Linked DNA regions of Astyanax mexicanus. The protein of the gene in region 3 purifies or fractionates together with the protein of the main gene of each other region. This does not show direct contact. Links are inferred from orthologs where the notes say so. Each region holds a gene or a part of one and is shown on either strand. Other genes may lie near its edges. The genes, in order: ptp4a2b, rap2c and rabggtb.

Region 1 (3,753 bases), on a different chromosome or scaffold from region 3:
TCTAGCAATAAATTAATAGTGAACCTCAGCGCACATGGGTTGAGAGAGTGTTGCCAGGTTAACATTTCTAGCCTCTTACTAAATACAATCAGGTGAGCAAAAACCCCAAAGACAAGAGTAAATGTTTAAGTAGATTTTGCTGTTCCACAGTGTTATGTTTTGTTGTTTTCTTTCCAGTTATACTGTATTTCCAGTTGCACCACCAAAGCAAAATGTAAATACACCCCGAACGACTGGTCAGGCTGAAGAAAAAGAAAAGAAAAAAAAGAGGTAACAAAAACCCATAGAAGCCAAACACCAGACTACAAGAAACAGAAGAAATGGAAACTTTAAAGAACATATCAGGAAAAAGACAGAGCCCAGTACTTTTCACATACACGTGTTTTGTATTGCTTTAGTTCCTGCCTGGATAAAACATATCTTTAGCTACCCAAAAACAGTGTCCAGCAAGACACCTACATAGAATACACCTACATAGGCCACCTGGCATTTGGGCCTGGGATATTCATTTGCCAATTTCACAACCCCGTCCCAATGACTCAAACCACACAAAACACAGTGCAATGTGCCCACAAATAAGTAGGTTAACAAAACACTTTCTGTTAATACCAGGACAATGCATTATGCAAAGGCCCAGTACTATCAAGGCAGAAAAATCATATTTAGATACTTTTGCTTTTGCGGATATTTCTTGCCACTGATATAATGATAATATAATAGTGTAATAATACATTTACAAATAACTTTTTAAGGAGCAATGCAATTATAATCATTCTGATTAACCAAACAGTGGAAGGCTAACCTTTATTATCTGTATGGAGAACTTTTAAGTTCGCTGGTGTTCAACTGTACCTAGCTGGTCTAGTATCCTTAGCCAAAACCTATCAAACCTAATCACATTTTACCTTTATAACCCCGTTATAAATAACATAGCTGTTAGATGTGTTGTATTCAAGGCCTTATCTTGTGCTTCAGCTCTTCATTAATAGCAATAAGCCCTTGTTCATGCCCGGGCATGTCTGTCCTCAACACTTGTTCGCAATTTGTGTTCCCGAGGATGAAAGAAGACCGAGGGAAATTGGGCGCTGTTCGGGTGTTCCCGCATAGCTAACTATTGAGTTAAGCCAAAAAGAAGAGAGGAGACGGAGGAAGAACATCGTGATGTTTGTTTCTCTACACACCTTATCTTAGCTAGCTTCGTTTCTCTAGGTAGCCTGCTGTTTGGACGACTAGTGAATTCTTCTAATTTCAGAAACATTGACAGTTTTCCTAGCAAATCAGTTAACTTAACAGGCAGCCAGAGTTAGGTTCACTCAAGCTAATTTAACTAACGTTACTTAAGCTAGTTAGTTAGTATGTCTGCGAACAACAGGGTGAGGACACAAGCCATCTGATTCAGTAAGCCAAGTTAGCTGAAGCTAGCTATTTAGCAAGCACTAGCCAGCGCTAGCTGGAAATAACGTTATTAACCGGCTGCTGCGATGTCACAGTCGTTCACACGGACTTACTAGATGTTTTAACCTCGAAAACGTGATCGAGAACTGGAAAATACTCCAATTTAATCCGTACACACAAGTATACAAGCCAGTATCTCCAGCTATTTTCTAGCCAACACCAGAACGCATGGTTAGGTCGCTATAAGCTAGCTAAAAAGCAACGTTGGTCAATCCAGGTCCAGAAACTCAAAATCCACCCATGTGTCTGTCACAATAACCTATTTTTGATTATATTTAATAACTGTAATATTAAGACATTTCATGCCACTGGCAAAGTTACTGATAACATAATAGCTAGCTACTATAGCTACTATAGTTATAAATGTACACATTACAATTAACTATCTGGCTATGATCCACTATCTCACTCAGACACTAGAATTGGAATAGAATCAATTTTAAATCATCATAAATAAAAAAAAACATCAACTAAATTAAATAAAACACTATTTGTAAAGAAAGTGGATATACTGTCACATTCCAGCATATATCAAGGTTTAGAAAGTAAAAATCCATTCCGTGATTTTGCTCCAACTGCCTTGCGAACCGCTAGGCAGCAGCAACACAAAAGCCGTACAGGCAGTTAGAGCAAAATACCGGGGGTGGATTTTCGTTTCCTGGATCTGGATTGATGACACCTCTCCTAAACATTAGCTAGGTAACCACCTAAACTAGCCAGATTAAATGCTGTGACTAAACGGCAAAGAGAGACATTAATAAACGAGTTCAGCATGAAAACACCACACTGTCATCTTATTTATAACAAACTACAGTCATTATTTACTCAAAAAACAGGTTAAATGGACCGTCAGCTAACTTAGATTAATATCTGCCGCTTCCAAAACGTGTCGTGCTCGCGCAAATGGCTGCCACATTTCAGCATTAGCAAGCTATGTTAGCTAGTGTGCTAAGCTATCTTAGCTAACCTAGCAAGCAAGCTAGCAAGCTGACCCGCCTGGCTTTCTTCAGGCACTTTAGCTGTCCGGCTATAATAGACAACACTAACTGTTAATACGAGCTGGCTAACCTAGGCTAGCTCTTAGCTAACGCTAGCTAACTTAGCCACTAGCCACAAAGGCTCCTGAACAACAGTTTGCCTTTATCAAAGAAAAAAACATTAACAGCCTTTAAACACTTTTCAAACATATTATCCTGTGAGTAATGAGTCACAGCTACTTACAAAAAACAGGCTGAACATTGAAATCCCGTGAGAATCGCCGGAGAAAGTGGATCGGAGTCGGTAACCGCTCTGCAGGCTCTCCTTCCTCTTCACACTTCACACTGAAAAGTGAGTTTCTCGTAGCGACCTCCGGACTCGAGACTGAAGCTTAGATTTGAATCGGTTCTTTTCAATGAGTCGAACCGACTCACACTTGCCAAATGAATCTATCGACTATTCTAGCATTTTCTAACCCAGTGGTTCTCAAACCACCCATGAACAAACCAAAACGTTATAAATAAAAAATAAAATATTAAAAGGAAATGTATTTTGGTATTATTACTAATACAGAAACTTGTGAATTCAATTGTAGGGCCTATGCAACTAAAGAACTGAAGTATACCAGGCCAAGCACTAACACAAATACACCTGATGTTGTGAAAATTAAAGGTAAAATCTCTTTTTGAATTGCTCATTTACTGTTTTTCCTGCAAAAGCAGTGGCTTATTCTGCTTAGTTGATATAAAAAGCATAATGTTATTAGAACTGTTCATTTATTCTGTCCAACTGTAAAAATATTTTAGCCACCTGAATCCATGAAAATGAACTAGAGTAAACACTGCATTTTATTTATTTTATTAATATATAATATGATCAAATTTACATTTCAATACATTTAGAAAAAAAGGATTTTCATCCTTTGAAACAACAATCTCTACTGTCCAGAGAAGGCCTTCTACCAAATTTTCTAGATGTTGAAGAATTGCTGTGGGGATTAAAATTAGTGACAAGAGCCACCTCATCCCAAACACTCCAATTTATCCCAATCCTCCAAATTTATCACAAACACCCTACCTCATCCCAAACACCCCAATTTATCCCAAGCCATGCAACCTATCCCAAACACTCCACCTTATCCTAAACACCAAACATATCACACCTTATTCCAATCACCCCAATTTATTCCAAACCCCCAATTTATCCCAAACACCCTACATCATCCCAAACACCCTACATCATCCCAAACCCCCAATTTATTCCCAACCCCCAATTTATCCCAAACACCCTACCTCATCCCAAACCCCCAACTTATTCCAA
Region 2 (3,753 bases), on a different chromosome or scaffold from region 3:
ATTATGTTGTTTGGCATGGAGAAGTAATAATAATAATAATAATAATAATAATAACTATTATTATTATTATTATTATTATTATTATTATTATTATTATTATTATTATTATGTACTGTGTTGAGTGTCATTGCAAAATAAATTAAACAATTGTCATTTTTTATTGCACACAGAAAACATTTTTGATCTTGTATAGTTGTATATATATCGATATTTACAATATTTTGCCAATCCTTTATAGGCTATAGGTAGTGTTTTTACAACTGAGCGAACTAGTCAAGTTGAGTGCATTTATTTTCACTGAGTATGTTACGAAAATAACAAATTAAAAGTCTGATAAAAATACATAACATGTCTATCTAGCCTATAAAGTAACGTAACATTACACGTTCTGTCGTATGAAGTAAATTATTTTGATTAAAATAAAATTGCAAATATCTGCAAAGAGATATAGGCCGATCAACAGTGCCATCTGCTGGACTGAGAAAATAAAGCAGCCATGTTTTTGCCCTACCTGTTAACAACGATGTGACCACTGGTTGGGATCTGTTTCTTTAATTCTATATTGATGTAACTGTTAATATGGCTGTACATTAGATCAGAAGTTCTAATACTAAATTTTAAATTCTTTAGAAAACTGCTTCACCGTACCCCACACCAAACCCAGACTTGTCTTGTTGCCAAACAGAAAAGCATGATTCTTCACCCCAGCCAACACTTTCCAGCCGTGATGTCCTTTACTTTTGCTTTTGTTGGAATCTATTTCGTAAAGCTCTCTATTAACTGTTCTTGAGATAATCTGAAGACTACATGAAGTTTGGAGGTGTGTAGCAATTGAGTTGGCACTATGTCCCTCTGGATCCGCTGACCATGCTCGTTCATTTCATGTGGTTTACCACTTAGTTTCTGATTTGCTTTCATTTACAAATTCTTCCACTTTGTTATAATATACTATAATATTCTACAATAGTTTGTAGAAACGGTCTGCATAAATGGGTGATTGGTTTTATACCCATGTGGCCATGGAAGTGATTGGAACACCAAAATGGGATAATCGATATTGTACATCTTCACTGAAATACAGAAATACAAGAAGGTTATGTTCGCACATAAATCATGCTGTTTTAAATATTTTATTTAAACTGAAGTTCAAGTCAAGTAGTTTTATTTTCAATACTGCATATGTTACAGCAAAAAAAAAACATAAAGCGATAGTTGACTAAAGTACAGAATAATAATTTATAAATAATAAAAGAATGAGAGACACTATGAGAGACATTGTACAATACAAGGTCATAGATATAGACATGTAAGTTGTTATGTAAGAACCAAAAAAGTCCAAAAGTCGCTCAAATGTTTAAAAAATAATGAGATTGACTATTTTATTAATTACAATAAATGATTATACTGTATAGACTATATATAAGTGAATTCCTCTGCCCTGCTCCAGATCTCGCCTACCAGTCGCGTCGGCCAATCACGAGCGCCTCTTGTCGGCCAGCCAATCAGGGATTTTGCTAAGCTCTGAACATTTTTACAAAAGAAAAGTAGCAGCCATGTCTTAACAGCGGGGCTGCGGCGCGGAGTCTCGGCCTGAACAGCAGTGATTTTCCTGTTATAGATGAAAAGCGGGTCGTTGAAGTTCGGATCGGACCCGATGGGCTTTCCGCCCGACATCCGCTGGTCAGTGTGAGGCGATCGGAGCGAGCTGGCCGGCTTGCTGAGGCTCTCAGAGCGGGAGAGGGAGAGGCCGGGCAGGCAGAGGAGGAGAAGGAGGAGGTGGAGGAGGAGAAGAAGGGAGGGAGGAGTGCGGGTTTTGTGTTGGGCGCTAACACACACACAGACAGACAGACAACAGAAAAGGGGCTCGCTTTAAAACCCCCGAACCTGTTGATTAACCAGGCTAAAGGAAGAACCGGCGGCACCGAGATCTGCAGAGCCGGACACCAGAAGAGGAGTTCGGGCTAGCGGGGACTTGCGCGGGTCTGGACAGGGTTTGTGGGGCCGGGAGCGGCGAGTCGGTCAGTGGGGCGGAGGAGCGAAGCAGAGCAGAGCGGAGCCGGGGGGGTGATAGATAGCTAGTAGCTTAGCATAGTTTAGCCTAACCTAACTGCTAACGATATTTTTCCCATGTAACTAGCTAGGTTTGATAAGCTATCACAGCAAAATGGCAGCAACACTATCACTGACAGTATTTATTTAACTAACTAGTTAGCATTTTGGCGAGCTTGTTAACAGCTAGAGTTGTTGGTTAGCTAATTTGAAGTTAGCCAAGATAGTTTTTAGCTGTATTATTTAGCTAGTTAGCTTACTAGCTAGCTACAATTAGCTAGCTGCCATGAGTCTTTTCTATGGAGTTTGGGCGTTTAGTGTTTAGCTAACTAGCTAGCTAGCTAGGTTAGCCAGCCGGCCTTAGCTAATGCTAGTTAGCTAACCTAAGCTAGCCAAGTCATTGCAAAACATATATAAAACCGCTAACTCAGAAGGAAAATACGATTTTAACTGATTAATCCAATAAAAAATAAAAATTTATTCCAGCTACCCGTCAAAAGTGTCTGTCTGCTTGATGTTGGGGAGCAGTTAGCCAGCCAGCTAGCCTAGCTAAAAGTTCGCCTGCTAGCCACCCAGCCAGCCATAGGTTGGGCTTAGTGTTTGGCTAAGCTAATCTAACGCCCGATCCCAAATGAAGGAGTATAAGGTGGTGGTGTTGGGCAGCGGCGGCGTCGGCAAGTCCGCGCTGACCGTGCAGTTTGTCACCGGGACATTCATAGAGAAATATGACCCAACGATCGAGGACTTTTATCGGAAGGAGATCGAGGTGGACTCGTCTCCGTCAGTGCTGGAGATCCTGGATACCGCCGGGACCGAGCAGTTCGCCTCCATGCGAGATCTGTACATCAAGAACGGCCAAGGCTTCATCCTGGTTTACAGCCTCGTCAATCAGCAGTCGTTTCAGGTGGGCTCCTGTCAACGTTGTGCTCAAGTTTGGAAAAACAGTGGGTTATCTGACCTGTATGCCTGAACAGATGGGGTGTGGGCAATTGATAATACAGCTCTGGGAAAAAAACTGTTTCTTTGCTTTTACGTTAAAAACCTCTGGAATATAATCAAGAAGATGGATGATCACAAGCCATCAAACCAAATTGAACTGCTTAAATTTTTGCACCAGGAGTGGCATAAAGTTATCCAAAGCAGTGTGTAAGACTGGTGGTGGAGAACATGCCAGGATGCATGAAAATTGTGATAAAAAACAGGGTTATTCCACCAAACATTGATTTCTAAAGCTGTGCTTATTTTTTGTTATTTCAGCCATTTCTTATTTTCTGCAAATACTGCTCTAAATGACAATATTTCTATTTGGAAGAAATGTTGTTCCTAGTTCTACTCAAACATATACCTATAAATAGCAAAATCAGAGAAACTAATTTAGAAATTGCAGTGGTATCTTAATTTTTTCCAAAGGTTAGATTAATAAGTGTCTGTTGTTTTTATGAAGGTTATCTTCTTTCTATGCCACACCATCTATATTTTCTATAGCCCCAAAGAGTGGTGTTCCTTCCAGTAAAGAAAACTGAAAAATGGTGTTGTAGCTAGATAAAAGGTTTTCCTACAGGGGGGGGGGCCTACATAATAAAGCTCAGAATTGGGTAGCTAGGTGGTCCTCTGATGCAGAAGAAATGTTATTCAGTGCCAAAAATTCCTACTAGGGCTCATACTAAAGATTATTTTGGTTGTCAACTAACTTAATGTGTGTGT
Region 3 (3,753 bases):
TCTGAGAGCTGTAGACTGTGTGACCTGCACGGCGCTGAGTGTGTACAGCAGGTGCGGGTCGTGGCCGATGCTGGCGCTGATCCCTCCGCAGTCATGCTGGCAGGATTTGATGAAGTCGACGATCTCCTCTCGGTTCATACGGTGGAGCTGACCCATCAGATCCATCACAGTCAGACCCCAGTAAATCCCACTCATCCTCAAATACTCCGACAGAGTGTATTCCTGCAGAGCAGAGGGGAACAACACTATCAGTCTATTAGAGGTTACCTTACATGAATTGTTAGGTACTTTAGCCTCCTACTGTAAGAACATAACATTTATGGAATTTGTTTAATAATTAGGTTTGACTGTGAGCTGTCTGAGATGAGAGCAAGAAAATATCTAAAAAAAAAACTAATAAAAACAACAAAAAAAAAACTTAGTGAAGTTTGGAGTTCAAGAAATGAACCGAGTCACTGATCTGTGTTTTAATTCAGTTGATCATTAAAAACATGATGTAAGAACATAATATTTATGGAATTTGTTTAATAATTAGGTTTGACTGTGTGCTGTCTGAGATGAGAGCAAGAAAATATCTAAAAAAAAAAACCTAATAAAAACAACAAAAAAAAACACTTAGTGAAGTTTGGAATTAAAGTTCAAGAAAAGAACCGAGTCACTGATCTGTGTTTTAATTCAGTTGATCATTTAAAAGCAGAGAAATCGGGTAATTAAGGCATTTAAAATATAATGTGATTTGTGTGTTGATTGGATGCTTTAAGGTGAAACAATCGATTAACAATTGCATTGATATCAGGTTGTGACGTTGTGTAAAAAAAAAACAGCTGAAGAAATGTAAAAAATGTTTATAGAAGATGCATTTTTTGGGGGCAAACATTAGAAAAAAAATTCCCAGCTTAATAACTCAAGAATGTCTCAACACACCAGCAAAAACCATATGTATGGCTAGAAAAAGGTAGAAACAAAAAGACAACATAGAGCTCAGAGGCTCAGACACTGGATTACACTTCAGAACACATTAAAACTGAGTAAATGAGTCACAGAAAATTACTCTGAACGAAACTTTAAAGACACATGCATTATTAAGTGTTTTTCACAATGGATCAATCACGGATTCTTAGAGAGTGAGGGCGCTGCAGTTTTTAGAAACTGTAGGATTTCTTTTTATCTCTTTCTAGCCATACATATGTTTTTTGCTGGCGTGTTGAGGCATTCTTGAGTTATTAAGCTGGGATTTTTTTTCTAACGTTTGCCTCCAAAAATGCCACTTCTATAAACATTTTATACATTTCATCAGATGTAAGCGTTCAGTTACATTACATCTTGCTGCAAAAACTTACGTAATCATCTTTTTTGGAGCCATAGGCAGCTATATAATCAGCATGCTTATCCAGAAAGAGAGTATTGGGGGCATCAGACTTGATGACCACGTCTTTAATCTGAGTCCCCTGTAAGACAAAAGATAAGACAAAAAAATGTATTTACATTCATACAGACAGAAAGACAGAAGAGATCATTATTGTCGAAGAACAAAGTACAACAAAATGAAGTGACAATCCCAAAGTAGAGTGCAAAAATGTGCCTGGCTATAAAAAAAAGTCACCACCTGCATTTAACTAAGTAAAAAAAGAGCCTCCCATTGGAGCATTTCTGAATACATGATTATGTAAGCAGTGACGCAATGAGTAGCTTCTCATTTGTTAAACAACCATGTGGAAAGACGCATCCTGTGGTTGTGGAAAGGATGTTAATCTTTCAGATGGGTAAAATTATTAACATGCATCAGGCAGAGAACACAGCTACGAAGGTTAAGAAGAGAGACGACTGAAGTGATGCAGCATCATGCATCAGGAATGAGTGCAATATATCATGCATCAGGAATGGCATAATGTTATCCAAAAGCAGTGTGTAAGACTGGTGAAGGAGAACATGCCACAATACAAGAAAACTGTGGTTAAAAAACAGGGATATTCCACCAAATACTGATTTCTTAACTCTTAAAACTTTATGAATATGAACTTGTTTTCTTTGCATTATTTGAGGTCTGAAAGCTCTGCATCTTTCTTGTTATTTCAGCCATTTCTCATTTTCTGCAAATAAATGCTCTAAATGATGATATTTTTATTTTGAATTTGGGAAATATTTTATCCGTAGTTTATCGAATAAAACAACAATGTTCATTTTACTCAAACGTAAACCTATAAATGGCAAAATCAGAATAACTGATTCAGGAACTGAAGTGGTCTCCTCCTTTTTTCTAGGGCTGTATATTAGTTTTCTGTCCAAAAACAATTACTCTTATTTACCTCATACTTCTAAACCTTTTAGTAACATCAACCTCATATTTCTACTCATAGAACTCTTTATTAGAAACCTCTACATTTCTTTAAACAATATATTTTAACGCTAGATATCGAGCTATTTTCAAGTTTTATTCATTTTTTCCATTCCACCTTAAATGCCGCAGAAGTTCACTTAGGGCTGCCAAAGCGTTACTACTATAACTGCAGTAGCATTTAAGGTGGAACGGAAAATTCAAACACGGCGCTGTCTGAATTTGTGTTGTTTTACTTACAGGATTAACTTAATGTACCAATATTAACACACCTAACACACTGATAAACACTGACAACTCAAACCTGACTAAAACGATCTTAATAACAGCTTACAAACGCATAATAATACACACAGAGTCACTCACCATCCTGCTCCACAGCTAATGCTAATGCTAAAGCTATGCCCACACTGGACAGACACGTCACTACAGAGGCTCTGATGGGTCATTTTCAAATTACACATTTTGCGATTCTCTAAATATACAGCTCTGAAAAAAATAGGTATATTTATAGGTATATGTTTGAGTAAATGAATACTGTTATTTTATTCTATAAACTAGGGACAACATTTCTTCCAAAGTCCAAACAAAAATATTTTTATTTAGAGCATTTATCCGCAGAAAATGAGAAATGGCTGAAATAACAAAAAAGATGCAGAGCTTTCAGACCTCAAATACTGCAAATAAAACAAGTTCATATTCATAAAGATTTAAGAGTTCAGAAATCAATATTTTTTTTAAATAACCCTGGTTTTTAATCACAATTTTCATGCATTTTGGCATGTTCTCCTTCACCAATCTTGCACGCTGCTTTTGGATAACTTCATGCCACTCCTGGTGCAAAGATTCAAGCAGTTCAGCTTGGTTTGATGGCTTGTGATCATCCATCTTCCTCCTGTTTATATTCCAGATGTTTTCAATTTGGTAAAGTAAAAAAAAAACTTTATTTTTAAGTGGTCTCATTTTTTTCTAGAGCTGTATATATTTTTTGTATTTTTTCCACTAAATATTATTTTTACTTTAGTGACTATATTAATGTGGCAAAAATATGTATGTATTACATATTATCTATTTCACATGCTTAAGAGATACATAAAGTACTAAAGACACAGAACACAGTAAAAGTTTGTGAATTGTTCATTAAGCTCCGTACTTACTCTGTAGTAGAAGTAACTCAATCTGTTACTATAACCTTCAACAAACATCTTATATTTGAAGGGTTTCTTCTCCCAACATCAAATTTAAGATCTCTCCACAAAGTGTTCAGTGGGATTTAGATTTGGACTCATTGCTGGCCACTTCAGAACTTGGCTGCGCTTTCTTTCCATCCATCTCTTGGTGCCTTTTGAAGTATGTTTTGGGTCATTGTCTTGCTGGAAGACCCATGACCAGTGTTGGGAAGGTTACTTTTAAAATGT

Evidence for each region.
Region 1: the proteins of rabggtb (region 3) and ptp4a2b purify together in Homo sapiens (affinity purification with mass spectrometry; 3 studies listed by BioGRID and IntAct, counting the BioPlex papers as one, with this or other methods). This does not show direct contact. The link is inferred for Astyanax mexicanus from reciprocal best matches to the Homo sapiens genes RABGGTB and PTP4A2.
Region 2: the proteins of rabggtb (region 3) and rap2c purify together in Homo sapiens (co-immunoprecipitation; 3 studies listed by BioGRID and IntAct, counting the BioPlex papers as one, with this or other methods). This does not show direct contact. The link is inferred for Astyanax mexicanus from reciprocal best matches to the Homo sapiens genes RABGGTB and RAP2C.

What each region holds. Positions count from the first base shown.
Region 1 is NC_064410.1:46,853,462-46,857,214, reverse strand, and holds the start of ptp4a2b (protein tyrosine phosphatase type IVA 2), read right to left. Parts: upstream 2,793-3,753; 5' UTR 2,677-2,792; intron 1-2,676.
Region 2 is NC_064417.1:46,106,347-46,110,099, forward strand, and holds the start of rap2c (ras-related protein Rap-2c), read left to right. Parts: upstream 1-1,533; 5' UTR 1,534-2,680; coding exon 2,681-2,953; intron 2,954-3,753. UniProt on the Homo sapiens protein: Small GTP-binding protein which cycles between a GDP-bound inactive and a GTP-bound active form. May play a role in cytoskeletal rearrangements and regulate cell spreading through activation of the effector TNIK.
Region 3 is NC_064425.1:41,699,470-41,703,222, reverse strand, and holds the start of rabggtb (geranylgeranyl transferase type-2 subunit beta), read right to left. Parts: upstream 2,768-3,753; 5' UTR 2,705-2,767; coding exon 2,702-2,704; intron 1,449-2,701; coding exon 1,341-1,448; intron 223-1,340; coding exon 25-222; intron 1-24. UniProt on the Homo sapiens protein: Catalyzes the transfer of a geranylgeranyl moiety from geranylgeranyl diphosphate to both cysteines of Rab proteins with the C-terminal sequence -XXCC, -XCXC and -CCXX, such as RAB1A, RAB3A, RAB5A and RAB7A.